Linked DNA regions of Cricetulus griseus. The protein of the gene in region 2 interacts with the protein of the main gene of each other region in a biochemical or structural test. Links are inferred from orthologs where the notes say so. Each region holds a gene or a part of one and is shown on either strand. Other genes may lie near its edges.

What was found.
Region 1: the proteins of Sntg1 (region 2) and Plekha1 form a complex in vitro, tested with the Homo sapiens proteins (2 studies listed by BioGRID and IntAct, with this or other methods). The link is inferred for Cricetulus griseus from reciprocal best matches to the Homo sapiens genes SNTG1 and PLEKHA1.

Annotation. Positions count from the first base shown.
Region 1 is NC_048596.1:69,920,303-69,935,048, forward strand, and holds part of Plekha1 (pleckstrin homology domain-containing family A member 1), read right to left. Parts: intron 8,536-14,746; coding exon 8,410-8,535; intron 7,505-8,409; exon of another isoform or gene 7,404-7,504; intron 4,856-7,403; coding exon 4,712-4,855; intron 1,944-4,711; coding exon 1,875-1,943; intron 1-1,874. UniProt on the Homo sapiens protein: Binds specifically to phosphatidylinositol 3,4-diphosphate (PtdIns3,4P2), but not to other phosphoinositides. May recruit other proteins to the plasma membrane.
Region 2 is NC_048595.1:235,598,178-235,616,437, forward strand, and holds part of Sntg1 (gamma-1-syntrophin), read right to left. Parts: intron 11,633-18,260; coding exon 11,576-11,632; intron 8,278-11,575; coding exon 8,220-8,277; intron 6,545-8,219; coding exon 6,501-6,544; intron 6,413-6,500; coding exon 6,371-6,412; intron 1-6,370. UniProt on the Homo sapiens protein: Adapter protein that binds to and probably organizes the subcellular localization of a variety of proteins. May link various receptors to the actin cytoskeleton and the dystrophin glycoprotein complex.

The DNA.
Region 1 (14,746 bases), on a different chromosome or scaffold from region 2:
GATTATTTTTATTGCTTAGTAGTGCTGAGGCTCTATCACAAGTCCTTGGATACTCTGGGTATGCATGCTTCCACTTAACTCCACACTCAGCCTAATTTCTTTATATATGAGTTGTTTGTATTTTCTGTTTCTTTTCCTACTAGATATTTTCCCTCAATTTTCTGTTTCTCTTTGAACCTTAAGACAATCACAAATTTACAAAAAGACTAAGAGCACGGTCACTTCAAGCTGAGCTGCTGCTCTAGTCTGCTATTCTAAAGTCCTAATGTTATGACCATCAAAGTCAGCAAGTGGCCTCCACACTGTCTTACAGGGTGAGAGTGCTCGCTTGCTGTCTCTCCTTTCCTTTAGTATGAAGATTACTCAGAATGAGGAACACAGAATCGTGCAGATTACAACAGTTATTTTGTAGACTGTCCCCTCCCCTGGATGTGGTTTCTGTCACCTGCTGACCAAACTCAGACTATCTACATGAGCAGCACAGAACTGGTGCTGTGTTCTTTTCATGCTATCATGTCAGGTGGTAAGTGGTTTCAACATCCTCACCACCAATGAAGTTCACTGAACCTGACCATTTGACAGAACCGGTCTCTGCCAGGCCTCTTCACTGTAAAGCTGTTCTCTTCCCTATGCACTCAAGTGTTTATTCACAGATTGGGTTCTCATTCCTATTTAGGCATCTTGTCCCTCATTGTAGTTACACGAACTCAGTCACCACTGAATTGCTGAGTTGTATCTACATGAACACAGGGATAGACAGGCTGTAATTTTATAATCAGTATGTATTTTGATACTCTCACTGTCCATAATCTAGTGAGAGAACTGTTTGCAAAGTTGTTCCTGGGTGATTACCATTTTCTCAACATGTTCTTGCTTTCTGACATAAGACATTCCAGGCTCATCTTGCATTTATTTCTTTTTCCCAGCTATAAAATCTGCTATTTCTCCATGGAGTCCAGGTTTCTTAAAGGGGAGGAGGAATGATCATTTTCTCAAGACATATTATATTTTACACTCATATGCATTCACATGAAGACATAATATTTACATCTGGTTCTATGTTTGTTGAGTTATATCAAGACAGTGTTGTTAGCGTGCCTACACTCAAATACAACGTGGAGCACACAAAAGTCCCACACTTTTGTAGAAGAGGCAGAGAATTTCATTAATTTATATAATAATCCATGTAAGATTCAGGACACCTGACTTTTTTTTTTTTTTTTTTTTTTTTTTTTTTAAGATTTATTTATACAGTGTTCTGTCTGCATGTGTCCCTGCAGGCCAGAAGAGGGCACCAGATCTCATTACAGATGGTTGTAAGCCATCATGTGGTTGCTGGGAATTGAACTCAGGACCTCTGGAAGAGCAGCCAGTGTTCTTAACTTCTGGGCCATCTCTCCAGCCCCCGACCACCTCACATCTTAAATAGTGTCAGGGGGGGGCGGGATAGAGAGAACTCAGTCTTTGATTCTGCCTTCAGAACATAACAAAGATATCTCAAATGAAATGGGAAAAGAAGGGCTAAGAAAAAGCATCGCAGAGAAGGCAGACATGTAGAGGACTGAAAGCTGCTTTTAGAGGATTCCTTTCACTGCCTCTCCCAATGCCCTTCTGACAGAGGTTTACATTTGGGGGGTGGTTATAATTTTAGACCCATCAAAATGGAATGCTTCCTTGAAGATATGGTAGTTTTTAAAAAAAAAAAAAAAACACATTAAAGAAATATGTGACTAACCAAATGTATTACAACCAAGTAGACTGAAATATAGATGCCCTCAAAACCAGAACTGGAATATCTGAAAAGCAAAACAGTATAAAAGCATACAATCGCTACAGTATAACTTGCCAAGCATATTTATAAAGTAACTGCATACCAGTTCAGATTTGAAGTAGCCTATTGTGTTTTCATCCAATTGAAAATATCTTCTCTTCCAGTTTTTCATCTATCAGAGAAGACACAGACATAGGCTTCAAAGAATGTCCAATGTTAATCATCCCTTAATCATTCAAAATCATTCAACCCACAATCAGAAATGCCAAGCTTGCAGAAACAACACACCCTCCCCAAGGTAAGTGGTAAATGGCACCTCTCCCATCAGGCCTTGAATGACAGTCTCAGTCTTAGGCAGCTCACTTTCAAGTTTATGAATGACTCTGGTATTTCAGATTTTTTTAAAAAAACTTTATTTTTATTTTATATGCATTGGTGTTTTGCTTGCATACATGTGTGAGGATGCCAGATCCCCTGGAACTGGAGTTACAGATAGTTGTGAATGACCAAACCCAGGTCCTCTGGAAGAGTAGTCTTAACTGCTGAGCCATCTCTCCAGACCCTCAGATTTTTTTAAAATTTATTTTATATGAACGAGTTCTCTATCTCCATGTATGACTGACTTTATGCCAGAAGAAGGCATCAGTCCCCTCTAAAGATGATTATGAGCCACCATACAATTGCTGGGAATTGAACTCAGGGTCTCTGGAAGAGCAGCCAGTGCTCTTAATTGCTGAGCCTGGTATTTCTCCAACAGTGGAAAAGAAAGAGAAGGTATTCCTTTCCCTTCTTGCCAGCCCAGCCTACAAAGTAAAGATTAGTTCAGGAAATGTCATTAACCTATCAGGTTTCTCTATTCACAACATGTATTTCAAGTATTTCATATATAACAGGTCAGGAATAAATACAAAATAAAACAAACCCATACAGAAAATGTTTAATACACTTTCATATGGATATTTATGTCAATTTTTTAGTACCCAAAAGTATCTGAAAATAGTGTTGGAGAGATGGCTCAGTGGTTAAGAATGCTCTTTCAAAAGACCCAGGTTCAATTCCCTAATACTCACACAGCAGCTCATAACTGTCTCTAAGTCCACTTCCAGGGGAATCCTACACTCTTGCTGGCCTCCACTAGCACAGCACACACATGGTACACAGATGCATATTTAAGTAAATATACATACACATAAAATAAAAATATCAAAAAATTAAGGAAAAATTTGTAAATGATTATTTTTTTAAAGAATTAGGAAAAAAAGAAAAATTAAAAAAAAAAAGAATTAGGACTACAGGTTACCTCCTTAAAAGCCTAATTAGCCTACAACTAAACCTCATAGCCTGGGGAATATTCTGCCTCCACCTATAGACAGCCTATCTTGAGAAACCTCTGGTCCCACCTTCCTTTCCCTGGGACCAATGATCCAATAGGCAAGAATGTTCCCAAGCGGAGCTGCCAGAAATTGGAGAACAATCAAGCAAAATTACCAGGAGAGTTTGAAGTATTTCTTTATTCACATTTTTTTCCTTTTGTTTTCAAATGTTCAAATGTTAACTTTATCTTCTCTTGAGATTCTCAAGATTTAGTTCATACAGAATAAACTTTAGAAAAGTTGATTAAAAAACAAACACACACACACACACACACACACACACAGACACAGACACACAGAGTTGGGTGGTAGTGCTGTAGCACACCTTTAACCCAGCACCCTGAAGGCAAAGAAAGACAGATCTCTGAGTTCAAGATCAGCAGCCTAGTCTACAGAGAATTCCAGGATAGCCAGGGCTACAGGGAAACCCTGTCTCAAAAAAATCAAAACAAACAAAGGCAAACAAAAAAGCCAAGTTTGCTATATGGCCCAAGCTAACCTAGAACTTTCTTTCCTGCCCTCCTCAGTCTCCCAAATACTAGGATTATAGGTGTAAACCACAGCACCTACTAGAAAAATATCTGGAGTCTTAGAAATAGTGGTAAATGTGTTTATCTTGTAGAAATCTCCTACACTGATAATGGGGACAACCTGGACTCACCTGTGGGCTTGTTTAGCACCTGGAGCTGTGCCAAAAGCTATCCCTCATTACCTCTTTCAAAAACCATAGACCAGAGGTTTAATAAAACAGTTTCTCAACCGGGCGTTGGTGGCACACGCCTTTAATCCTAGCACTCAGGAGGCAGAGGCAGAGGCAGGCAGATCTCTGTGAGTTTGAGACCAGCCTGGTCTCCAGAGTGAGTGCCAGCATAGGCTCCAAAGCTACACAGAGAAACCCTGTCTCGAAAAAAACCAAAAACAGTCTCTCATAAAACAAAACTGGGAGCCTGGGAGATTAAATAACCCAACCTCAGAGCTGTCCTCTGGAAGCCACTTGGTCTTGTACTTCCACTTCTCCTATGGTTCCACACCTAACGATTTCTGAAGGTGTGGGAAAATAACAGAACTTTCTGGGGGTTAAGATGGCTCAGCAGGTAAAGGCAGTTGCCTGAATTTGAACCTTGGAATCCAAGTGAAGGTGAAAAGAGAGAACTGACAAAGTTGTCTTCTGATTTCAAAACATAATGAATAGCACGCATGCTCCCTTCCCTCACCCACATACACACACACACACACACACACACACACACACACACACACACACACACAAATTGAAGTTTTTAATTAAAAAACAAATGAAAAAAACCCTTGTCATGAAGCTAAACTTAGGAAAGCTCACTGCAACTAAATGTTTGTGGAAATATGCATTAACTTACCCAAATGCCCAAAAGACCACGGAAATACTATGCTTTGTGATAAACATGGAGCAACCCCTCTCACCCTTCCCAGCAACAAACTGCTCTCCACTCTGGGCCTCTCAAAAATAAAGCATACAACTTGAATTACGACTTGCAAGCTTGCTGGCACATGACCATCCCAACTTCACAGGTATGGTTAAGCTACTCACCACTGCTCCTTGTTTCACACAATACCCAGCTTTGATAACTGCACTGTCTGGAGGTGGCTTAGGAGGAAAGTAAGGAAGATGGCTTTGTGACCGTTTCAAATTGTTTCGGTCAACAATTTCACCACATTCATTTACTTCTTCTTTCTAAAACAAAGTAAAAGAAATTATTTTTTTGCTTTAAAATATACTTTCATTTAACGTTATCTTAGAAAATCTTAAAATCTGTGACATTCAATCATGACTTTCTTGTCATTGATCAAACCACAAACATCCACTTCTATAGCCTGTCTTTAGTGCTTGTCCTTGGAGTGGGGCTTTTATACTGAAATAATTTATTAAACAGATTCGCAGGAAGTTAAAATAAATATAAAAAGTAGCTGAGGTCCTATATACACTTCAACCAAATTATTCCCAATGGGGAAGTGCGTATTTCCAGAGTACCAAGTATACATAAACTTTATTCAGATTCCAATAGTTATATAGTTTGTTCCTATGTAATACTACCACATGCAGCAGCTTGTTGTGGGATATTTGTACACTGTGTGAAGATATATTGCTGTGATTCATTTAATAAAGAGCTGAACAACCAACAGCTAGAGGGACATCTGGGCAGAGAGAGGAAGTAGGAGGAGATATCGAGGCACTGGGGAGATAACAGGAGATAGGAAACAGGAAGTGAAAGACAGGAGAGAGGTAATGACACGTGATAGAATGTAGATTAATATATATTTATTATATATTATAATATATAAATGGGTTAATTTAAGTAATAAGCGGCAGTTAGGAACAAGCCTAAGTAAACTACTTAGGCTGAGCTTTCATAACTAATCATAAGTCTCCATGTTGTCATTTGTGAGTTGGTGGTCCCCAACTACAAGCTGCACAACAATCGCTATAATCAACACAAAGAACTGCTTGCTGCCACAGGGTCTGCTTGTGATGATGCCCTTGTAGTACTCCTTTCACAGCCATTCATTTGTTCCCGACATTTTGAGAATATAAACTGAAGCCCATAGTAAGGATCTTTTGAGATTATTTTTTAAAACTGTCACTCAACTCTCTGAAGGCTCATCCAGGTGGCTCTTAGTGTCAACAGTTGATCAACTATGCTGCTATATCCAGTGCTGTGGATGTACCACCATACCATGCTACTGACCACCTCCCCAATTAACAGTATGTCTTATTTCCAGCTTCTGGCTACTAGGAATGAAACTATTATAAGTATCCATATACAGGTTTTTGTATGACCATAATTACCCACTTCTTTAGAATAAATGCCTAGGAGAATACATACTAGGCTGGAGAGTAATTACAAATTTACTCAAAGATGACAACAAGAAAACTACCACACTGAATTGTTTTTTTTTTTCCCCGAATGGATGAACTATTTTACTTATATCTCCACCAGCAATGGATGAGAGGCCCAAGCATCTCTGCTAAGGTATAATCATTCACTGTATCCTTAGTTCGAATTTCTTTCTACCGGCTACAAATGGCGACCATCTCTCCTAGTGCCTATTAATACATATTTCATTTGTGGGTGAAATGTCTGTTATGATTTCTGTCTACATTTAAGGATTTTTTTTTTTTTGGTTTGCTAATTATTGGGTTTTAAGAGTTTTGTTCCTGTAGATAAAAGTCCTTGGTTGGATAAGCAGCTTGTAAACTTTTCTTCTAGTCTATCTTTTTTGTTTGTTGGCTTTTTGTTTTTCAAGACAGGGTCTCTCTGTGTAGCCCTAGCTGTAGGAATTCACTCTGTAGGGATGCTGGCCTCTAACTCAGAGACCCACCTCCCTCTGCCTCACAAGTGTTGGGATTAAAGGTGTGCACCACCACAGCTGGCTAGTCTATCTTTCCTATTCATCTTCTGAGTAGGGCCTTTCACGAACAAGTATCTGAAATACAGATGTGCAGTTATCAGTCTTTTCCTTTTATGGATAACATGCCTGATGTCAACTCTAAAGGCCTAATCCTTGACCTGCAAAATTCTCCCATGCTCAATCCTAAAAGTACTAAGTTTTTATGGGTTGTTTTGTTTTGTTTTGTCTTTGTTTTTTAAGACAGTGTTTTTCTGTGTAGCTTTGGAGCTTGTCTTGGAACTAACTCTGTAGACCAGGCTGGCCTTGAACTCACAGAGACAGAGGCCTGCCTCTGTCTCCCAAGTACTGAGATTAAAGGCGTGGGTGCCACCACTGCCCAGGCCTATGTTTTGTTTTTTTTGTTTTTGTTTTTTTTTTTTAATTCAACTTTGGCAAAAAAAAAAAAAAGTAACTCTAAACTCTCCCTAGAACAGAGATTGGTGTTACTATATACCCTTTGCAAAACATAGAAAAAGATACTCAAGTCAGTTGATAGATGTTATCAGATTTCTTTCCACTAATCACACCAACCTGACACAAGGATTGAAAAAATATGATACCTGTTAAAATTATAATGGTCTAAGCCAGGTTGTGGTAACCCACACCTTTAATTCCCAGCAAGCCAGAAGCAGAGGCACAGGCAGAGGTAGGCAGATCTCTGAGTTTGAGGCCAGCCTGGCTACATAGAGAAACCCTGTCCCTGGTCAGATTGGGGGGGCAGTATTGGGAGGGGATCAAAACAACAAAGTCTTCTAAGATCAAAAGATAAAACTAATGAGAATATCCAACACTGGCAATAGCCATCACTTTAAATTCACAACTATTACTAATTTAATTTGTATTAAAAGTACATTTCCTCATTGGAGCCATACAGAAATTAGCATGGCCTCTGGGCAAGGACGACATGCAAATTTGTGAAGCATTCCATATTTTCTTTTTTAAGACAATACAGGGGTCATAGTAAACAATAAAGTTGAGATGAAAGGTTCTGCTATCACAGGTCCAGTTGCAAAGGAATGTGTAGACTTATGGCCCAGGATTGCATCCAACACAGGCAGCACTGCATAATTCTCCAGTGTATTTGTAATATATATTTATTAAAAAATAAAAAAGCGCATTTCCTCAATAGCAATATAAGAACTTAAGTGCATATAAAAGTTTCAAGTTCATTTTTTAAATTACATAAGTTTCTTTTTACTAATACCTAGGCACATCAGTACTTTTAAGACACAATCCAGCCAGAGTTGCAGTTGTCAGGTTGTAGGTAACAACACACACACACACACACACACACACACACACACACACGCACGCACTCACGCAGGTTTGAAAAAAATTACACATATTTACAGACTCTCACCCAGCATCTGTACTTTATCTTGGTGTAGACCTGTAACCTCAGCTGCTCAGAAAATGGGGAGGGGAAGGGTGGGGAGCGGAGCGGAGCCCTCCATTTGTCTATCAGTAGAAGCTTATAAATAACCACCACAGCAGAACTCTGTAGCCATTAAAAGTAATAGAGAATAACTTCTGATGACTGATGTGAGATATGCTGCTACAAAGTCTGACATGTAACTCTATCTCCACTTCTACAGGGAGAATACAAAGAATTCAACTCAGAGAAGGAAGAGTGATTCTCTCTGTAACTTCTGATCTTTTTTACAAAAAACATACAAAAGTTTGCAAAACACTTTCAGAACAGGAAACTAAATTAAAAGCTTTTGTAGTTAATAGACATTGAATTAATTCAGTAAAGGCATCCTGTTTCAGTTTTGTTGAAAATACAAGTATCAATATGCAGTCATGAGACCTACATTTAACAGAGCACTGATTTGTTACCTGAGTTGGAGTGATGATGGGAACACCACCAACAATATCAGTTCTGTAAGACACTTGCTTCTTGCCACAGTCACCCTGACGACTCAGGCTGTCAGAAGCCGGCTGTGAGTCTGACTGCTTTGGTACCTGGAAGAGTGAGATGGATTATCTATCATGCAACCAAAATTGCAGAATTGTATTTGCAACCCTCTCCATCATCACAGCATTTTCAACTGGCTGTCTGTAGATAACTAAAAAATAATAATCTATTTGCAATATTGTGATTCAAGATCTCAGATTGTTCTGGTCTGAGAACAGTTTAGACTATAGCCATCAACACCGACTGCTGTTGCATGTGCAGCCACTACTTCATACACTTCCTCCTTTCTCCCCTAGCCAACTCTCAGCACAGTTTGAGAAGGAAGCAGGACTTAGAGGCAGCAGGGAACACAGGTTGAGATCCCTGCTTTACTACATTCTAGTCAAGTTTGTGCAATAAAATGAAATAATCACAAACAGCATCAATTACATACTGAGTATGATTTAAAGGACATTTTATTTAGGAATCCTCACACAGTCTTTCAGAAATATTATCAACAATATGAATGACAAACACAAAGGTAATGGCATAAAAATGTTTAAAATTAAGTCATTTGCCATTTGCCCATCACCTATGAACTACAGAGAAACCACTAGCACTGTAGTCAAAGGCCCTACATGTACTAATGTGATTCCATCTAAGGCAGGGAATATACATAAGACATTACCCAGGAACATCACTAACACTCTAATTCCCAGGCTCCATCCCCAAAATGAGTCTCTGGAACATTTCCCTCAAACTGCTTTCAGAAGGAACAGGTGCTTTTGAGGGACAGTATTTCACAAATTACACTTCAAGAAACCCTGCTCCACACTATGCTCTTTTTTGTACATCACATCGCACTCGCCAGATTTGGAGAAGAGCTGGTGTACAATGCAGACAAGGGATTATTTACAAAGACACTCTTTTCAAAGTACTCAATAAGCATGGGTGGCGTGTATGAGAAAATCTCAATCCAAACGTACTGATGGACATTAACTGTTCATGAGTAAGAATGGCTTATATCTTAGGTAATGTCATTTTCTCCCACTGCCTCCCTTGTCAGGCTCTCTATTGGGCTGTGGCAGCACCCTCCAGCTTCAAATGAATACTCCAAATACAATATCAATCACTGGTGGAAACAGGAGGAATAGAGAAAGGGAGCCTGGCAGTGGTGGCGCACACCTTTAATCCCAGTGCTAGGGAGGCAGAGGCAGGTGAATCTCTTTCAAGGCCAGCCTGGTCTACAGTGAGTTCCAGGACAGCCATTGCTAAACAGAGAAACTTTACCTCGAAAAACCAAAACAGAGAGGGGGACGGTGGGAGGAAGAGGAAGGGGAAAGGAGGAGGGGAAGGGAAAGGAAAGAAAGGGGAGGGAAAGGAAGGAGGTGAGCCCTGAATGCCTGTAGGATTCTAAGAGGCTACACTCTTGAGTGCTTTTTAACAGTGATTGTAAAAGTGGACAAAGTGTTAGTTGTTGGCTAAAATTAAGATACCACACCCTAAAACAATTTGCAGATGAACTCTAGCACATTTTCTAGAATCACATAATTTATTTCAGTCATTCTACAAAGTGTGGACCTGTCAAATCACTGAAATTAGAAAAGAGCTGTAAGAGAATTGGAAGCTACAGAGCTGACCTGAGACGGCTGCTCTGTGGTGACCTGCAACAGGAGCAAGCAGTGGTATCTTCCAGGTAAGGGTTCTCCTACTTGTAAGGATTTCTAAAGACAAGTTTTTCATGGAAACTTAAATACACTAACTAATATATGCTGCTTTCCCCACTGGTCTTCCAGAAACATATTAACACAAAAATTCCTTTTCTGTGCAACTGACCCACTGGTGACAACCCTTATAATAAAGTCTATACAAGCACAACTGCCCCACTCAAACTGAAGATTACAATAGAAATTATCTATATTACAATTACCTTGTTTTCAAGAAAAGTGCAAGTTAAGTATCCAGATATAAAGTTATTCCCTTAGAATTTACAGAAAATTCTTAGTGAAAGTTGAGTCAAATCCAAACTCTAAGATAAAGAACCTCCACCCCAACATACACACCCCACCTTCAAATCAGACAACTGTTAATGAGCATCAAACAGCCACTCACAGGGCAGAGGACAAATGTCAGAAATTAAATATGCTCTATTATATTGCTTCTTCCCTGCTTTTTATGTAACTATTTCTTGGGAGGGGTCTGAATGTGTTCTTAGCAGGCATTTACTATGACCGCAATAGAACGTTCCAATATTAGAAAAGAAAATAATGACTAAGGAAGGAAGATATGAGCAAAACAGACATTCATGACTAAAATAAATAAAAAGCTACAGGCTTCTCAAAAGTTACAGGGGAAATGAAATTCGGCTAACAAGGAATGAGGGCAGAGCTGGAAAACAGAACCTAAAGTGTTTGACAAATTCTTTGGCAGCAAGACCTGCAGTCCTTCCATCTGACCTGGCTGGCTGGCAAAGGCTTGGTTAACACTGCAGGGCAACAAGGGCATTCTTTAGACCAATATTCAGTTATCATTTAAAAAAAAAAGTCCCTGTGGAGTTCTGTTTAAAAGCTAATGTAGACTTTTAAATTAGACATTATGGTGGAAAAAGACATTTTAGAAATAGTGAACTTCTGCTTAGGAAAAAGCTACGGGTAACTTCATCACTTTAAACCAGTAAGGATCAAGGAACCACTACACTGATGGTAGACAATTACACATTTGAGCGCACGTCCTTAAAAAATACTTTTTCTAATATTGACCTTTTAAAAATCTTTTTGTTGAGGAGAGGCTACCTTAAATGCCCTCCCCTGTAATGAGATTGATGACTGACTTATATGCCCTCCTATACCCTTCATTCAGCAGCTGGTGGAAGTAGAAGCAGACACCCACATCTAATCACTGAACTGAACTGGAATCCAGATGCAGAGAAGGACAAGTGATGAGCAAAGGGATCCAGACCTGGCTGTGAAACCCACAGAAACAGCTGACCTGAACAATGGGGGAGCTCTTGGTCCCCAGACTGATAGCTAGGAAACCAGCATGTAACTGATCCAGACCCCATGAACGTGGGTGTCAGTGGGGAGACCTCGGAAATCTTTTTTTTTTTTTTTTCCGAGACAGGGTTTCTCTGTGGCTTTGGAGGCTGTCCTGGAACTAGCTCTTGTAGACCAGGCTGGTCTCGAACTCAAAGATATCCATCTGCCTCTGCCTCCCCAGTGCTGGGATTAAAGCTGCGCGCCACCAATGCCCAACTGGAGACCTTGGAAATCTATGGGACCTCCTGTAGTAGATCAGTACTTATCCCTAGCATAGGTGTGGACTTTGGGAGCCCATCCCACATAGAGGGATACTCTCTGAGCCAAGACACATGGGGGCGGACCTAGGCCCTATTCCAAAGGATATGATAGACTCTGATGGACCCCCCCCACCATGGAAGGCCTCACCCTCCCTGGGGAGCAGAAAGGATATGTGATAGGTAGGGTTTTAGTTGGGGGGAGAGGGTTGGTAGGGGAGGAGGGGAGGGAGAGGGAACTGGGATTGACAGGTAAAACAATACTGTTTTTAATTCAAATTAAAAAAAATCTTTTTGTTTCTTCTTTAAATATTTAGGAGAGAATTTACAATGTACACAGGGGAGGTAAGGAAAGACAGACTATAGTTGTGAGGGGCAGTGCACTAAGGTGCAACTACTACAATTGGAACACTTAACTAATCACCAGGCTCTCGGCTACAATGCTCTAACAATGTGAGGTGAAACCATACTCTGGAATACTCCAATTTTAAATTTCTGAATGTTTTAAGTGTAGAGGTTACATATACATAGTACTTAGCAGACCACTAAATTATGGTCCATCAAAATGTCATTTGGACTGAAGAGGAAAGTAAAACTACACTGTACTAAAATGGAAGTATTAATCTTTCAAAGATCCTACATATAAATCATTAGCCATTTAGATATGAAATTAGACATATCACACACCAATATACTTAAATGTGCAAAATGCCCATGAGGTTTAAACTGGTAGGACCTTTAAAAAAAATTAACAAAATATCTATTTTTAACCTACCTACCTACCTCTCTCTCTCTCTCTCTCTCTCTCTCTCTCTCTCTCTCTCTCTCTCTCTCTTTCAAAATAGGGTTTCTCTGTGTAGCCCTGGCTACCCTGGAACTCACTCTGTAGACCAGGCTGGCCTCAAACTCACAGAGATCTGCTTGCCTCTGTCTCCCAAGTGCTGAGATTAAAAACATGTGCCACGGGGCTGGAGAGATGGCTTAGGGGTTAAGAGCACTGACTGTTCTTCCAGAAGTCCTGAGTTCAATTCCAGCAACCACATGGTAGCTCACAACCATCTGTAATGGGATCTGGTGCCCTCTTCTGGCATGCACTGTATACATGATAAATAAATCTTTAAAATAACAAAACAAACAAAAAAAAACAAACATGTTCCACCACCACCTGGATCACTTTTTTTTTTTTTTATGTGTATGGGTGTTTTACCTTCATGTCTGTGTACCACCTACATGCCTGATGCCTGTGCAGGCCAGAAGAAGGTACTATATCTCCCTGCACTGGAGTTATAGACAGTTGTGAGCAGTCATGTGGGTACAGGGAACCAAACCTCCTTTGCAAGAAGAGCCAGTGCTCTTGATCACTAAGCCATCTCTCTAACCCCAACAAAATACATCTTATTAAAGCCTGTGAATTCTCTCATTTTCCTATTTTTACCTAAAAATGACTCCAGTCAAATACCAATTCTATATTCACATCACTGTATTTATAATTACTGGTTATTTCTGTTTCTAAATATGAATTATAAAATCTTAGAAATCATTATCCAGATTTACCTAAAAACAATAAAAATGTCATATAAAATAAAGGTGCAGGATACCAAGAGCTAATGAAATATTACCAGTTTCTCCTGCCTGCTGAAAAGCTTGCAATGACATGAAGAACTATTTAGTCCCACGAATAAATGAGAGGAATTCAAGGCATTCCAACTTAGTAAAATGCTGAGAACATTCATTCCATTTTCCTTTAAATCACTAAAAGAAGCCAGTTCTGCTTATTATTGTAAACTGTGAAAAACAAATTCAGGAAAGTTCTACATATGGACTTCATAAGGACATCTTCCAGGTAGGGAATATTTATTACAAGCTCAACATGATCAGCTAAAACCTTATAAGAACATAAACTTCTGAATCTGCTCAAAATACTGCTATCCTGAAACTGCACAAGCCCAAAAATAACTTCTGCTTCACATAGAGTTCAGATGTGGTATGTGGGCGTTTTCTGTCATGTGGTAACAAGCTGTTCTGCTGCAAGACAAAAAACTTGACCTAACTAAGAACAGCCTTGGTTGGCCATCTTAACTGTGCTGCTGTGTGGCATAGACACAGAACATTCACTTTAGATGAGGACTATATGCATTGATTTTCCAGGAACATGCTCTTTGGCCAAGAGTAGATCAGAACTAGTAAATAACTATACTTCACTGAAAACAAACTTTAAATGATACAACCCCACACAGGAGGAGCTCCTTCCCAACCTATTCCAGGTAGCCAACTCTTTCTAAGGAAGAAAGGTACAGCAAGGCAGTCCATGAGCTCAGCAGCAGCAACAGCAACTTGCTCAGAAAAGTTTGGCAGACTTTAGGAAGGGGCTCTATGCTCAGTGTACTGCAGAATTTAGGGTCCAACAACCAACAGGCTTGCTTAGGGATTAAAATCTCCCATCTAAAGCCTGCCTACTGGTACAGTGTAAGTAGTCAGTAAGTACTGACTGATGTTCATTTTAACCAAACAGAAGAAACGAGTTGAATAGCTGTAGTATCAGCAGGTAGGGAAGAAATAGCAGGTCCTATAACTCCAGGGAAAAGGAGCTTAGAGCCTCAGACATCCCTAGAGCACACAGGCAGGACCCTCTGGTTTCCACAGCTCTTCAGACTCAATCTCTATACCTGTGCCCTCCCTTGTTCTCCCACACCCATCTTCTCCTTTGCCAGTCATGGCATAGAAATTGGGAATGCTTGTGACCATCCCCAGAGTAAATGGTCCAAAGCCTCTCATCCTACTCTAGACTTAAAACAAAACCACAATCAGCATGCACAGTGATGTGGGTCTTTACTAAGGACACAGAGAAAGGCATTCACAGGCTGACCGTCACCATGCACAAGAAAATGGCTCACATTCAGAACTTATCTTTTAAACCAAGCTTGAATATGCAACCTGATGGTAAGCTGAAGATATTAGACACATTTTAAAATGTAAAGATTACTTCT
Region 2 (18,260 bases):
TGATTGTACCTAAACATTTGTAGTCATGCTCACTCCAACCTTCATCACTCCTTTTTCTTCTCATTGCCCTGTCTTTCCCAAGATGGTGTCTTCAACTTTCATGTCTTATATGTGTTGTTAAATGTATGTTCAAGAGAGAATATGAGAGATGATATAATAAGACCCCTTTCATACTTTCATGTGACCTCTCTATAAACATACACACACTCCACATATGAAAGAGAACCCTTTTATGTCAAGGGCCATGAGAAATACAACAGGATAATTAAGATTTAACAGGCTGACCTACCACAGGTTTCTCTTGTCTGTAATTTCTCTCATGAGTTGCTTCAACTGTTCCCTAAGAATACCTCTTGATCTGTCCCACAGCTTGTGTGTGTTTAATCTCATGAAAATATTACATCTACTTGGTACATACGTCTGTGGGAAATAAGAAGGATGATTTCATTGGGTTGTATAATCTTGATATATAGAATATATACTGCGTGCTTTGTATTTTCAAATAGGCCTCAGAGAAAGGAACTCTTTTTCACTGGGACATCAGCTGTAAGAGTGCTCACTGCTTACCCTAAGGCTGGAAGCCACAGTTTCCATATTGCACACTATATAGCCTTAGCTTTTTCCCTTCGATATAGTACAGAGAAGTTCCCTTTAATCAGCTGACATTTGGTAAAAATGTTAATAGAGATCAAATGCTACACATTTTCCTTACACAGCTATTGCCAGTTACAAATGCTGTGTTTCCAGCTGCTGGAAAAGCAAAAGCCAGTATGTAGAAAGCACAGAGATACATTATCTCTTCACCTCCTTGGTGCCTACAGTTACCAATTACAAACTTCTAGCTCAACAATCCACATGACTGTAATTTTACATACAAACACTCCTTCTCCCATCTTAGAAAACACAGCCCCTTACTGCATTAGCCCTCACAGCCTATTCAGCAGTGCCAGGACATGTCACAAGTCATGTCCCCTTTGAGACTAAAGTTTACACAGACATTTTACAAGTAATGTCCCCTCTGAGACATGAGGTTCCTGATTTTGTCAGATCTTATCTGCCCACCTGGCCCAGAAATATTCATAAATGTTTATGCTTGTTATTGGCAGAGAATTGCTAATTAAGGAATGCCATTACCTTCCTTAATACCTAAAGGATGGCCTATCATAGTCATTGATCTAAAAGACTGTTTTTTCACAATACCGTTACAGGAAAATGATAGAGAAAAATTTACATTTACTTTACCAACTCTTAATAATTCACAGCCAGTTAGGAGATATCAGTGGAGGGTTTTGCCACAAGGAATGCTAAATTGTCCTACTTTATGTCAACACTTTGTACAGCAACCTTTGGAAATAATTCATAAGAAATTTTCACAATCTCTTGTTTATCATTACATGGATGATATTCTTTTTTCAGATTCTAATAAGGAAACTTTGGAACGTATGTTTGAAATGGTGAAGGAAGTTCTGCCCCATTGGGGGTTACAGATTGCCCCAAAAAAGATACAAAGAGGAGATTCTATTAACTATTTAGGCTACAAGATAGACTTACAAAGAATCAGACCTCAAAAGGTACAAATTAGGAGAGATCATTATCAAACTCTTAATTCTCTTCAGAAATTATTAGGGGAAATTTCTCAATTACAGACAATTATTGGTGTAGAAGGACATGACTTAAAGCATTTAAAAATGGCCCTTAAAGGTGATAAGGACCTAAACAGTCTGAGAATATTATCTGCTGAAGCAGAAAAAGAGTTACAATGGGTAGAAAACAGAATATTGGATGCGCATGTAGATCGGATAAACCTTGATTTAGACTGTATTCTGGCTATCTTGCCATCCAGAGAATACCCTTCTGGAATTCTGATGCAAAGGGAAGACACTATATTGGAATGGATATTTCTGCCACATAAACAGAATAAAAGGTTAAAGACATATATAGAAAAGATTTCTGATTTGATTTTAAAGGGTAAATTAAGACTTTGTCAGCTGACTGGAAAAGATCCAGCAGAAATTATAGTACCTTTAACTAATGAAGAAATTTCCTCCTTGTGGAAGGATAATGAATATTGGCAAATAGCTCTTACTGACTTTTTGGGGACAATTAGCAACAACTGTCCCCAAACTGACAGAATTAAATTCATAAAAAAGACAGTCTGGATTCTTCCACGTATTGTAAGACAAACTCCCATTTCTGGAGTTCTTACCTTCTACACTGATGCCAACAAATCAGGTAAGGCAGGTTATAAAGCAGGTGAGGTAAGTAAAGTAGTTCAAAGTCCATATACATCTGTACAGAAGGCAGAATTATATGCAATTCTCATGGTACTTAAGGATTTTACAGAACCTCTTAATATAGTTACTGATTCCCAATTTGCAGAGAGAGTCGTGTTACACATTGAGACTGCAGAATTTGTTCCTGATAATACAGAATTAACTTTTCTGTTTTTACAATTACAGGAAACTATCAGAAACAGAAGTAATCCTATATACATTCCACATATCAGATCCCATACGGGTCTGCCAGGCCCACTAGCACACGGCAATGATGAGATTGATCATTTATTAATTGGAAGTGTGCTAGAAGCCTCAGAATTTCATAAGAAACATCATGTAAATAGCAAAGGTTTGAAAACGGACTTCTCTATCACTTGGCAACAAGCCAAGGAGATAGTGAGAAACTGTCCTACTTGTTCCTTTTATAGTCAAACTCCATTGCCAGCAGGTTGTAATTCTAAGGGCATTTGGAAAAATGAGTTTTGACAGATGGATGTCTTTCTCTTTACAGAGTTTAGAAACTTGAAATATGTACATCATACTATAGACATATTCTCAGGGTTCCAATCGGCTACTGCTCTTAACTCTAAAAAAGCTGATTCTGTTCTTACACACCTCCTAAAGATGATGGCAGTTATGGGTATACCTACACAAACAAAAACTAACAATGCTCCAACATATGTCTCTACAAAATTAGAAAAATTTTTCAAATATTATAACATAAAACATGTTACTGGTATACCACACAATCCTACAGAACAAGCAGTGTTGAGCAATCTAATAGAACATTTAAGGAGATACTCAACAAGCAAGCTTAAAAGACTAAACCCCCCAAACATAGGTTACATAATGCTTTATTAACACTAAACTTTCTTAATGCCAATAAAAAAGGACAAACAACTACAGAAAGACACTAGACTATGAAAAAAACTACTAAACTCAATCAGCCGGTATACTTCAAAGATGCACCAACTTCTAAATGGAAACCAGGACATGTGCTACGTTGGGGTTGGGGTTTTACATTGGTTTCCACAGGAGAAAAAAAACTTTAGATACCATCAAAGTTGATCAAGATTCGAGTAAAAAAGAACAAACCTCTCGACGAGGACAAATGACAGGTATTCTACTAAGGTCTATCTTATAAACTAAATAGAAACCTCACAAAGGAAAGGGAAGTGTTTTACTTTTATCTTCACAGAAAAACTCATCTTCAGAAGACAAAGGACACTACATGGGTAGATACTTTAAAAAAAATGGTAGCTATAACCATCAAATAGAAGGAATGTGCCATACGGTAAACTTTACAGCTGTCTCTCAAAAAAACTCTATTTCTTTTTATTTCCTAGTCCCTATTCAATTAACCAATGCTGGGTTTAGAGGTGGATTTGGCTTTCCTCCTCTAAAATCCAAGCACGTTATTTAACTAAACTTTAGTGTTTCTGTGTTGTATCAAGAAGCCAATTGATATAATACAAAATAAAAAAAGAATTTGGGGACTGTCTTGTCTTTTCTTGGATCTTTCTCTCAAGGTGTACACCCTCTCATAATTGTTATGCTCTCATGGTTACATTCCCCAGCATGTGTACATACACAAACAAACATTTCTCTACTAACTGTTTATGTTTGAGTTCCACACAGCCAATAAAGACCTGCCTGACAGCAATCCCTAGACACCCTAGAAAAAAAATGGGCCACACCTCCTCGACTGCACTAGATCCAGCTTACTCCATTTCAATGGACACTCCGGCCAGAGGTTCGGGTACTGACTTCAATCAAGTTAAGGATTTCAAGCGAGATCTTCAATCAAGTGAATCCCATGTATCATGGACTGGATACAATTCACTCACGACTTTCACTACACTAACATTTTCTTCCTACACCACATGACCATCATCATCCCATTTCAGCAGGAAGTAACTTGGAGGATGCTATGCCCCCTTCCCCCATTGTTGTCACTTAGGATAGTGTATATACCTAGTTAGGGATAGCTTCCTATTGTTTATGGTTGGATTTGGAAGGAGGTGTTCAGGCCTGGACATTTCTCTCAGATTACTTTAGAGTTTAGTTAAAATAGATAGTTAGGATGTGACATATCTTCTTATATTTTACCTTTATGATTGTTAATTTTGGATACTTTACACTGTTAAGTTTTAATCCTCTTTTAGACTAAAAGGGGAATTGTAGGGGAAGCTGTAGCCACGCCTACTTAGGGGCTGGCTACAGGTGTTCCTGACCACGCTTTCGAGGGCATGGTCAGGGTGACGTAGAATGTGGCTTTCAGGGGACTGTGTTTCTGTTTCGGTTTCACTTTGGTACTTGCGGTACAGACTGCTGCCACGCCGGCTGGCTAGGTCGCTCTGTAAGTGAGGCTTTTCCCTATTAAATGCCCCTATATTTCTACCTGAGTCTGTATTGGTAATTTCCCACTTCAGAGAACTTTTCACCAATATGAAAGAAATGGTGTCCTGGGGCAAGATGCCATGAAAGATTGAATCTTGTGAAAATGTAAATTAATTTGACAAAAGAGAGTTTAATTTGAGAACAGTGTTGAAGGCCTTCCAACCCCTTAAAATCATATGACTGGAAAGCATTTTCTCAGTGAAAAAATGTCTCTCTTAGGGCCCTCCTTGTTTCCTAGCTTCTCTGGCAGTGTAGATTGTAGGCTGGTAATCCTTTGCTCTATCTCTAAAATCCATGTATGAGTACATTCAATGTTTGTCTTTTTGTGACTGGATTACCTCAGTCAGAATGGTTTCTTCTAATTCCATCCATTTGCCTGCAAATTTCAAGATTCCATTTTTTTCCCGCTGAGTAGTACTCTGTTGTATAAATGTAACACATTTTCTCTATCCATTCTTCAGTTGAGAGGAATCTAGGATGCTTCCAGGTTCTGTTTTCTTTATTGTCTCTATATCAGTTTTCAGGTCTTGAACTGTCTGAATTGTTTCCTTCAGTTGTTCAATTGTATTTTCTTGGCTTTCCTTAAGGGATTTGTTGGTTTCTGGTATTTTTTTTCTCCCTTTCATTAAGGGATTTTTTTTCATATCCTCTTTGAGGCCCTCTATCATTTTCATGAAGACCTTTTTTAAGGTCATTCTTTTCTGCTTCATCTGTGTTGGGATGTTCAGGTCTTGCTTGTGTAGAGTCCCTAGATTCTGGTGGTGTCACACTGGTTTTTCTGTTGTTCAATGTGTTTTCCCTGCACATATTCAAAGGAAATTGAAGACTTCTACAGGATTTTCAACAAAGAGTGTCTAAAAGATGACCTCAATATGCTTTTGTAACTACAAAATTATTGGTAAACACCAGCAGACCATGATACCCAGCTCTCTGCAATAGCACTACTTGTGAAATGGAAATTTTACATAGATATTTGCAGCTTCCCTGCTGAGATTTTAAATGTATAAGTCATCAGAATAACTGCTTTTTGATCCTTGAGCGTATTTTAAATGTAGTTTTCTTTATCTCTTTCAGTAAGAACTCAATGGTATTTATTTAATTGTGACCAACATTTCCCCAGATGTCTACCACTTTGATTAAGTTTTATAATGCCATTTCATTATCTGCAATAGAGACTAACCTATCTATGGAAGTATGGATTAGAAGAAATTTACTGTTTAACTGTTTATAAATGTAGCTGAAACTCAGCTTCCATGTCCCAGCTGTATTAAATTAGAATGTTTGTATATGCCCCAACACATGTAAAATCATGCAAGAAACTGCCATAATGAAAATGTGGGTAAATCTACCCTTTGTCTCTTCATCAATTCCTTCTCCTTTTTACACCTTTCTCTACACACACACACACACACACACACACACACACACACTTACAGAACACATTGCCAATTGCCCCAATGCCATTTAAAAATTTACAGAAATCAATACTTTTCTCATAAACCTTCAAGCATTTGAAAAAATTACATGTATACTTCAATTTGAAATACATTTCATCATGATAGTACTTCTAAGTGTATTTTAAGAGTAAAAATTGGTTGAAAGACACTTAGAATTGGTAATATGCTACATTATTTTGTACTTTCATAATTAAATTGAATTTGAGATATGATAGCATTAGAAAAAAGTAAACTCACCACTTCTTCATGTCTGTATTTCCTCACATTAATCCCATTTATCTGCAATGAAAGAAAATACTTAGTTTCAAGTAGTGTACTGTAAATTGGCTTTTGTTTGCATCTATAAAGACAATAATGAGATATATACCTGTAGAATTGCATCTCCGATGAAAAGCAGTCCTGACAGCTCCGCTGTGAATAAGAAAAAAAATTGAATACACCTTGGCATTTGTCAAATAAATAAAGATGTTTTGTCTTAAGGTTAAAACTGTAAACAAGCTATGTCTTTTCTATGGTTAGTATTTCATAGGGTCACACACAATGTAAACTCAAAGTATTAATATGATTTTTTTTCAGTTGCTGGAATAGGCAGACATTTCTTTTTGGTTCTAGAAATTTATAACCTTACAGTTATTAAAACATGGTCAGTCCCCTCCCAACTTTGTGACTTTTTTCCTTTTTCAAAAATGCCAATTAGTGTGGCCCAAATACTTTTGGATGTGAGGCTTTCCAGTTTAGCATGTTTGACTTTTCAGATGATACATTCTGGAAGTGTAACTACATCTTGGAAAGTTGGAAGAATGAGTATGAATGTGATCAAGGCATGTTATTAACAGTTTTCTAAGACGTGTGTGTGTGTGTGTGAGTGTGTGTGTGGTGTGTGTGTGTGAGTGTGTGTGTGTGTGTGAGTGTGTGTGTGTGTGTGTGTGTGAGTGTGTGTGTGTGTGTGTGTGAGTGTGTGTGTGTGTGTGTGTGAGTGTGTGTGTGATGTGTGTGTGTGTGAGTGTGTGTGTGTGTGTGTGTGAGTGTGTGTGTGTGTGTGTGAGTGTGTGTGTGTGTGTGAGTGTGTGTGTGAGTGTGTGTGTGTGTGTGAGTGTGTGTGTGAGTGTGTGTGTGTGTGTGTGTGAGTGTGTGTGTGTGTGTGTGTGTGTGTGTGTGTGTGTGTGTGTGAGTGTGTGTGTGTGAGTGTGTGTGTGTGTGTGTGTGTGGTGTGTGTGTGAGTGTGTGAGTGTGTGTGAGTGTGTGTGTGTGAGAGTGTGTGTGAGTGTGTGTGTGTGAGTGTGTGTGTGAGTGTGTGTGAGTGTGTGAGTGTGTCTGAGTGTGTGTGTGAGAGTGTGTGTGAGTGCGTGTGAGTGTGTGAGTGTGTGTGAGTGTGTGAGTGTGTGAGTGTGTGAGTGTGTGAGTGTGAGTGTGTGAGTGTGTGAGTGTGAGTGTGTGTGAGTGTGTGTGTGGTGTGTGTGTGAGTGTGTGAGTGTGTGTGAGTGTGTGTGTGTGTGTGAGTGTGTGTGTGAGTGTATGAGTGTGTGAGTGTGAGTGTGTGTGAGTGAGTGTGCATGCCTGTGTAATATATACATATTATGTATGCATATTCATTCACATTTGGTCACTTTTCTTAGTGCATTTACAGTATAATATCTCCATGCAAATACCTCAGATTTAGACTTTCCATCTGTCTGTTCTATGCTCTGTTCTATTACTTTGCTGTTTTCTTGATAATTGCCAATAAACACTTGATTTATCTGTGATAGTTTTTAGATGAAGCCTCATATGAAGTGAGTAAAATTGAGAAATCTATCGAATATGGATTTGTCCACTAAATGTGTCTTCATTTTTCGATCTTTAACCAACAGTTCAGATGTGTCTTAATTGTGTCATTTCACATATGGTCAATTAATACATGGCCATTTGAACTATGTGAATCCATCATTTTCCCTTTCTGTTCTGTAGGAGGAACAAGGGAAACTGAAGAACCAGATTTGACTTCTCACTATATGAGGCTTGGAATCCAGGGGAGCCACATCGATACCAGTTAGTGAGCGTGGGATTACAGAGGACTGACCACTTCAGGGTTAGCTAAGCACATTACCTCTTTGCTCCTTGGAGATTTTGGAAATGACAACTGGAATGTTATGTTCTGCACCTCCCTAGAAAGAGACAGTCATACATCATATTTTTAAGTCAGCTTTTAGCCAAAAAATTTAAAAATAACAAATAAACAAAAACTGCAAGCTATAAATATTGCATCTAATGAATACTAAGCAGAATTGAAATAAATTTGTAGAATTTCTTTTAAATAAGCTTGTCCATGAAGCTTGGATAAGTAATGGGTTTTTGTTGGTTGGTTGGTTGGTTGGTTGGTTTTTCAAGACAGGGTTTCTCTGTGGCTTTGGAGGCTGTCCTGGAACTAGCCCTTATAGACCAGGCTCGTCTTGAACTCACAGAGATCTGCCTGCCTCTGCCTCCCGAGTGTTGGGATTAAAGGTGAGCGCCACCACTTCCTGGTGTAGTATTTAGTGGTTTTGTAATGACATTTAATAATTAGTAATAACTGACTATAAAATTTTTATTTCTCAAATAAAATTCATAATGTTAGTAATGACATTCTCTTCAAAATCCATTATGGGAAAGCAAGGCATCTTGACATTTGTTATGTAGGATTCCACACATCAGATATTTTATATATTTCAATTCTCTGACTATTCTATTCTGGCAAACACACACTCTTTCAGTAATTCATTTTGAGTGCTAAATAACCAGAGAGACCTTCTGCCTATACAGATGGATAAACAAAATCATGAGATGTCTAAGTGTGATGGGAACAGAACTACCTGTGTTTCCTAATTAGTATTAGACTCCTGCGTGTAAAAGCATAGGCTAACCAATTATCATCCAAGAATCCAACAGCGGCCCTTGGCTCAAATATGAAAAGAAGGAAGTGCAATAAGGAATCAAAATTTTTATAAAAGCAAATAAACAATTCTTAGAATCATACAGTTTCACCCCAACAGTGTAAGAAGTTTGGGTGTGTTCGGTGATAAACCAAGGACATATATAAACAAGTGAAGTGTTGTGTAGAGACGGAGTATACATGTTTAGCACAGGTGGTTGAAGGGGCCATCTAGAGTCACTGGTGGTGCTCTGTGCTTAGAATAAATAACTCCCTAAGCTGCCCATCAGTATAATTACAACATTTTAGAACATGCTCACTGATGGCATTCATTTCCAATGCTGAGTAGAATTAGATATGAGATGGAAAATCACTTAAAAATAGTACTCAACTATAATTTTAAACTTTTATGTATTTTATTTTTATTGCTGAGAAAGGGGAAAATAAGAGTAAAAGTAAAATCTTACTTAAGTTGTTCTTCAAAGCCACTAATCAGCTCATTTTAAACCTAATACATCCTACCAACCATCCCTAGGTCTGTCTACCCCAGCCTCCACCAAACGCAAAAAGAGGCATTGTTACAGACTGTTATGGCCCAAACTCAGTACCAACAATTTAACCTATATGCCAATCCTATCTAAGGTTCATTGGTAAAGTATTGGGTAAAATACTGACAATAAAGTGTTGCTGGCATCGTTGCCTATTGAATTTAGAAAATGGACTCCAAAATGGTGAGCTGAAGGGATACATGCACATTGAATGCACAGTGGAGTCCACAACAGCGAGGGCTGAAGATTCATCCTCACGTTGCGGAGTGAGGACTAGAGTAAGGACATCTGAGAAGTAATCTCTAAAGAGTACGTGCTGGGGACCATGGCAGAAAAATGTAATGGAAAAGCTGTTCACATATTACACAGTGGGGACCACAGATCAAGGGGCTATCGGCACACAGCATTCTCCGAGGACTATGAAAGGAAGGCTTTATGGATAATTTAAACAGAGTGCACTGTGGGGACAACATCAGTGAGGCCGGGGGGTGGCATCTGCACACTGCATGGTGAGAACACTGTAGTAGGCACTACAGTGAGACACTCAGATCTCTGAGCAGCTTCGAGGGCAGGGAAAGCTAGTTCTCACTTCTAATAATATGTGTTTGATAATGTTTTCCAAACAGGCATGCTGGTGCCCTTCTACCAATATATTTTAAAAGTTTTTTTCAGCTAAAACTCAGGAATCATATGCTGAATTAGAAAAGCTGTGTGCCAAAACCTGCCTAATGTTTCCTCTACTGAAAATACTGTCACAGTTGAATAACACAGTATTTTATTTCTGTTACCCTGAATTAAGACAATAACTTCCCTTTAGAAAATCTATGTCTTCAGTGTGTGCTAAAATTGACTATTTAACTGAAACAAACACAGAAAATTGCATGTTTCTTGGCCTAATTTCAATATCCTGTAATATATTCTGTATGTGCCCCTTGCCTGGGTTAATGAAAAATACACGTAAAGTTTATTTTAACACAAATATTTTGAATATTGAGGTTCTTAGCACTCCACACCCTGCCATTTTTATTAAGTCATTTTGAGAAAGCTGAAAATAGGTGATAGTCACAAATTCAAAATGCCCCTTTCCTGACAAAGATAACAGGATCTGGGTAAAATGTCTTTAAAATTTCACAAAAACAACATACTAAGTAAGTAAATACAAACTGAATAATTGTGATTAACAACCTTCATTTAATAATTCAGGAAGTCAGATTAATTACACAATTAAAGTTGTTGGGTTAAGTCTTCATTACTCACATTTAATCCAATTCTCTCACTTTTTTCAATCATTTCAATGATGATAAATAGCAAGATGATACATTTTTATCAGTCAAAACAGACAACACTGTACAGATCAATAAACTTAAATATCATATTCAAAACTTAGAATTGATAAATGGAATTTATCAATTTTCACTTTAACTAAGTGAAAATCAAGCAAGATTATATATATTACAATCCATGTCTCACATGTTCCCAATTCTCTTCCATAGTTCCATAGAGAATTGTTCCCATTATTATTATTATTATTTTGGTTTTCTGAGACAGGGTTTCTCTGTAGCTTTGGAGGCTGTCCTGGAACTCTTTTTGAAGACCAGGCTGGCCTTGAACTCACAGAGATCTGCCTGCCTCTGCCTCCTGAGTGCTGGGATTAAAGACGTTTGCCACCAATGCCCAGCGAGAATTGTTCCCATTATACTCAACAGTTTTCCATGCTGCTGGAGGAGAAAGGAAAGCTTCTTGCCATGAATACAGTTCATAATCATTGGAAGATTCATAAAGAAAGCTGTCAAGTTCTACTTAACATTAGGTAAGTTCCCCAGATCTTTCCTGTAATATCTACATCACATGATAATGATATGTTCTATAAGAACATCCCAGATTTTAATGTGTTCCAAACATCACAGAGACATTTTATATTATTATGAACCACCAACATTTTAATGTACATAAAATGTTAGCCTTTAAAACTTAGTCTTTGCAAAGATAGACTGGAAAGGGGGCTACCTTTATACTTAAACCAAATCCTCCTACTGTCTGCCTTCTGATCATCACCGTTCTTTCCTGAAAGATAAGAGATTTATGAAAGGTAAGTGTTTCCTTAGACTAAATACCTCTTTTTCTCCTGTGGTTGTTTCAATTGCTGTTTAAAATTTGAAGAAAAATATTTGACAGCAAAAGAAACTTTAAATATTTCAATTAATGGAACATTGTACAGTTTGAATCAAAGGTTAATTAACTTGTTTGCCAAAATAAATGCCACAAAATTCATGTCTGAAAAATTATTTCAGTGATAGTTTGAGAAGAATTTTAACATTTTTATAGTCTCATTTTCATGTTGCACATTCTTGTGTAGCCTAACAGTATCTCCCTGCCAGTCAAAAGCATCCCCCACCTGAGGCCTTTCCTGCATCACCAAGTCATATATTGGCGATTTAAGACCTAAGCTGCAGCGCCTCTATAGCCCAGCACTTCAGAGACCATGTGATGTCTGAGAGCTACATGACGAGGAAGCTGAAGCTGTATTCAGATCCTTAATTTACATGTTAGAAAAAGGACATACTTGAGTATAATGACAGTTGGATTATTAATGTACACCACTGTTTCCCCAGAGTGTAACAAGAATTCAGCTATGAAAATACCAATTCAGAGACCTTGGTGTGAGCACATGAACATTTTCTTAAATTTGCAACCAGCAAATCAAACTTTTGAGTTTTAAGGAAACAATTTATGCATATTTCATATTCTGGAAGAAAGTTGAAGGGTAGGAAGCTGTATCCATAAACTGAATCATTTACATCAGCCATCTCTCACCATCTGCCCTATCCCCTGAATGTAAGAGATGTTTGTGACTTTTTGCCTACATGTCCATAAATTTCCAACTCATTTACCCATCATCTCATTTCCCAAATGTGAATATGGTTCTGCTACTTCTACATGAATTCTTTCTCTCTTTTATTTTCATTCATTGTGAATTAAAATAAAAAATTTACAACAGAAAATATAAAAATATGTACTTTTGTGGCTTTTATTAAGAGTTAATCCTTAATCTGATTACAGGTGAAGGCCAGTTTAGTCACCTTCTCTGCTATTGCTTAGAATTTTATGTAGGGTCAACCTTGTGGATTCTTGGGTATTTCCCTAGTGCCAGGTTTCTTGCTGTTTCCATATTGGCTCCCTCAATGAGGTTATCCCTTTCCTTGCTCTTACTCTCTGTCTTTCTCCTGTTTCCACCATCCCTTTCCTTCATCTTCTCCTCCCCATCCCATTCTCCCTTCCTCCCCTGTTTCTGCTATGCCTTCTCCCCTCTAACATGTTCCCAGCTTTCTCCCAGATCTTGTCCATTTCACCTTCCAAGGGTTATACATGTATGTCTTTCTTAATGTCCCCCTTGCTACCTAGATTCCCTTGGGTCTGTAGGATGTAGTCTCATTATACTTTGCTGTATGTCTACTATTCATTCATAAGTGAGTACATACAATGTTCATCTTTCTGGGTCTATGTTACCTCACTTGGGATGTTTTTTTTTTCTAGTTCCATCCACTGGCCTGCAAATTTCAACATGTCATTATTTTGACTGCTGAGTAGTACTCCATTGTGTAAATTTATCACATTTTCTTTATCAGTTCTTAGGCTGAGGAGCACCTAGTTTTTTTCCAGGTCTTGGCTATTACTAATAATGCTGTTATGAACACAGTTGAGAAAATGTCCTTGTGATATGAATATGCATGATTTGTGTATATTCCTAAGACTGGTATTGCTGTTTTTTTATGTAGATGGATTCCCAATTTTCTGAGAAAGTTCCCTACTGATTTCCAAAGTAGCTGTAATTATCATCATAAAACATCATCCAGCAATGGATGGAAGCAGATGCAGAGATCCACAACTAAGCACTGAACCAAGCTCCCAGAGTCCAGTGTAATAGAGGAAAGAGAGTTAATATGAGAAAAGGGGTCAAAAACATGATGGAGAAACCCAAAGAAGCAGCTGACCTGAGCTAGTGGGAGCTTAATGACTCTGGACTGATATTGGAGGAACCTGCATAGGACCAAAGTAGAGCCTATGAATTTTGGTGACAGTTGTGAGGCTTGGCTAGTCTTTGGGGCCAATGACAGTGAGACAAGGATTTATCCCTAGTACTTGAAATGACTTTGTGAAGCCCATTCTCTTTGGAGGAATACCTTGTTCAGCCTAGACATAGTGGAGAGGGTTTTGGTCTAGCTTCAAAGTGATGTGGCAAACTTTGTTGACTCCCCATGGAGTCAACCTCTCTGAGGAGTGGATGGGGAGTGGGATGGGGGGACGATGGGGAAAGCTGGAGGAGGGGAGAGAATTGGTATATAAAATAAGAAAATATTGTTTTAAAATGAATAAATAAATAAGAAAAAAGTTAATCCTTAAAGGTATGAATAAAAACTCATCACTTGACTAATCAGAAGATCAGTTGGTTGAACTGTCTGCTATTTGAACTACCCCATTCCAAAGATTCTGTCTCCAACGATCCCCTCCCAATTTATTGCACACAAGAACAGACTCTGCCTTTAAATCCAGCTTTCTTACAACATCAAGACCTGAATATTCTAATGCATTTAAAACAGAAAAACAACTTCATGAAGATGATAGTGAGACTTAAAGAGGAAATCAAGAAATACTTTAAATAAATCCAACAAACAGGTGAGTGAAGACACTCAAGAACAGAAAATTGAAGTAGAAGCAAAAAGAAAAAAAGGATGGAAATCTGGAAATAGAAAATCTGGTTAATAGGAACTACAGATATAAGCAACAGCAACAGAATATAAAAGATGGAAGAGAGACTCTCAGGTATTAAAGATATGATAAAAGAAACAAATTTATCAGCAAACAAAATATTAAATCTAAATTACCCTGACACAAAACACTAAGGAAATCTAGGGCACTATGAATAAAAAACAAATATAAGAAGAATAGGAGCTGTCTTCTTCCACCCTGGCAGAGGCAGCCACTCTCTTGGATTCTTACCTCCTAATAAATATCTTGAATGAGGAAAGAAAAAGGATTATAGGAATAGAAGGTGAAGAATACCAGTTCAAAAACTCAGGAAATATATTTAACAAAATCAGATGACAAAATTTTCCTAACCTAAAGAAGGGCATGCCTGCTAATGGTTCAAGAAGCTTACAAAACTCCAAACACCAATCATCAAAGAAAGTCACTGTGTCATATTATAAACAAAACACTAAGCATACAGAATCAAAAATAGATTAGAAGCTACAAGAAAAAAGGGCTACTTAACATATAAATCTAGAACTATTAGAATTATACCTGACATCTAAATGGAGATTCTAAAAGCCAGAAGAGACTGGATGGATATGTAAAAGCTCTAAGGGAACACAAATGCTAGTTTACACTTCCATACCCAGCAAAACTTTCAATCACCATAGATGGAGAACACAAGATATTTCCTGACAAAATTAAATTTATACAATATGTAATCACAAGTCCATCTCTACAGAAGGCACGAGAAGGAAAACTCCAACCAAAGGAAGTTCACTACATCCACAAAAAGACAGACAATAAATAAAATCACACCAGAAAAAACACAAGGCACACACACACACACACACACACACACACACACACACACACACTCACTACAACGACCAACAACAACAAAATAAGAGGAAGTAACAATCATTGGTCATTAATATCTCTCTTAATACCAATGGACTCAATTCCACACTTAAAAGATACAGGCTAACAGACTATATGTGAAAACAGAATCAATCCTTCTCCTACATACAAGAAACACACCTCAGAGTCAAAGATAAGTATATCCTCACAGTAAAGAGTGTGAAAAATATTTTGCAAGTAAATGGACCAAAGAAGCAAATTTGTGTAGCTATCCTAATATCTAAAATATAGACTCCGGACCAAATTTAATCAAAAGAGATAAAGAAGGACATGCCATACTCATCCAAGGAAAAATCTACTAAGATGGATTTTCAAATCTTAACATCAATGCCCCAAATAAAAGGGCATACACATATGTAAAAGAAACATTACTGAAGCTTAAATCACACATCCAACCTCACCCATTAATAGTGGGAGGAATCAATGCCCTGGTTGCACCCACATAAAAACTAAATAGAGAAACAATGGAGCTAAAAGATACTATGAATGAAATGGACCTAACAGATGTCTACAGACAATTTCACCCACACCCAAAAGAATATACCTTCTTTTCACCACCTCACAGAACATTCTCAAAAATTTACAACATAATCACTCACAAAACAAGTCTGAACAGATACAATAAAACTGAAATAATCTCCTGTATCCTTTGTGACCACCATTGATTAAAGTTGGTTTAAAAAACAAAAGAAAAACCAGCCTACAAACTTATAGAAACTGAACAAAAATCCACTAAATTAAAGCTATGTCAAGACAGAAGTAAAGAAAGAAATTAAAAACTATCTAGAATTCAAGGTAGCTGAATACATATATAACAAACTTATTGGATGCAATGAAAGAGGTGTTAAGGGGAAAGTTCACAGCACTAAGTGCCTTCATAAAGAAATTACAGTGATCTCATACTAGCAACTTAACAGGACACTTGAACTATGTAGAACAAAAAGAAGTTAATATACACAAGAGAAGTAGAAGGGAGGAAATAATCAAAATGGGAGCTGAAATCAATAAAATAGAAAGAAAAAGAACAATACAAAGAAACAAAGAGTTGGCTATTTGAGGATATCAACACAATAGATAAACTCCTACCCAACTGACCAAAAGTCAGAGGTTAACAAATTGCCAAAATCAGAAAAGGGACATATAATGACAGAGACAAAGGAAATCCAAAGGATCATTAGGTGATACTTCAAAAACCAATATTCCACAAAATTGGAAAATTTAAAAGAAATGGACAATTTTCTAGTAGATACCACTTACTGAAGTTAATTAACATCTGGAAAACCACTTAAATACCTCTCTAATCCCTAAGGAAATAGAAGCAGTCATTAAAAGTGTCCAATGCACCAGATGTTGGTGGGGCACACCTTCTCTGTGAGTTTGAGGTCAGCCTGGTCTCCAGAGCAAGTGCCAGGATAGGCTCCAAAGCTACACAGAGAAACCCTATCTCAAAAAACAAGAAAAGTCTCCTAATCCAAAAAATGAATTCAGGTGGTTTTAGCACAGACTTCTACAAGTCTTTCAAAGAATATCTAATACCAATACTCAACAAATTATCCTATAAATTAGAAACTTTAGAAACATTACCTAATTCTGATATCCAAACTACACAGGAAACAGTCAACAAATAAAGAGAATTACAAACCTATTTTACTCATGAACATTGACGCAAAATACTCATTAAAATACTCACAAAACAACTCCAAGAACACATTAAAAAGATCACACAACATAATCAAGAAGGGTTCATCACAGAGATGGCAGGATCATTCAATATATGAAAATCTGACATGTAATCCACCACATAAACAAACTAAGAGAAGAAAAGCCTTTGACCAAATTCAACAGATCTTCATGATAAAAGTCTTGAAGGGATAAGGGATGCAATGGACACATTTAAACATACTAGAGGCAATTCACAGCAAGCATATAGATAACATTAAACAAAATGTCAAGAAACACAAAGCAATTCTACTAAAATCCAGAATAAGACAATGCTTTCCACTCTCTCCATATCTATGTAAAATAGTACTTAAAGTTCTAGCTAGACCAATTAGAAAACTAAAGAAGACTGAGTGAATAAAAATTTGAAAGGAAGAAATCAAATTATAGCTATATGAAGATGATATAATAGTATACATAGGTGACTTTAAAACTTCAAGTGAACTCCTACGGGTGATAAACAACTTCAGTGATGTATCTTAATATGAGATTAACTAAAAAAATCAGTAGCTCTCCTATATAAAAAGGGCAAATGTGATGAGTAAAAATTAAACAAAAACACACTTCACAATAGCCACAACAATCATAAAATATCTTAGGGTAACTCTAATGAAGCAGAAAAGACCCATATCACAAGAACTTCAAGCCTTTGAAGAAGGATACTGAAAAATATATTAGAAGGCATAAAGATTTCCCATGTTCTTAAATTGGTAGGATTAACTTAGTAAAAATGGTTATCCTGCCAAAATCCATTTACAGGTTCAAAACAGTCCCTTTCAAAATTCTAATAAAATTCTTTACAGAACTGGAAAGAGCAATACTCAACTTCATATGGAAAAACAAAAACCCAAGAGAGCAAAAAGAATCCTATGTAGTAAAATAACTTCTGGGGTTATCATGATCACTGTATTCAAGCTATACTATAGGGTTGTACAATAAAAAACCACTTTATATTGACATAAAATCAGACATTGATCAATGGAGTTGAATCAAAGACCCAGACATAAATTCACACACATTGAGTTTTGATTTTAAAAAAGCCAGAAATACACATTGGAAAAAAGAAACCTTTTTCAACAAATTGTGCTGGGCTAACTGAAAGTCAGTATGTAAAAGAATACAAATAGATTAATATCGCTCTTCCTGCACAATAGTCAAATCCTAGTGGACCAAAGACCTCAACATGAAACCAGATACATTGAACCAGATGGAAGAGAAAGTGGGAAATGTTTTGAACACATTGACACAGGAGACAACTTCTTGATCAGAACAGAAATAGCACAAGCACTAAGACCAACAATCA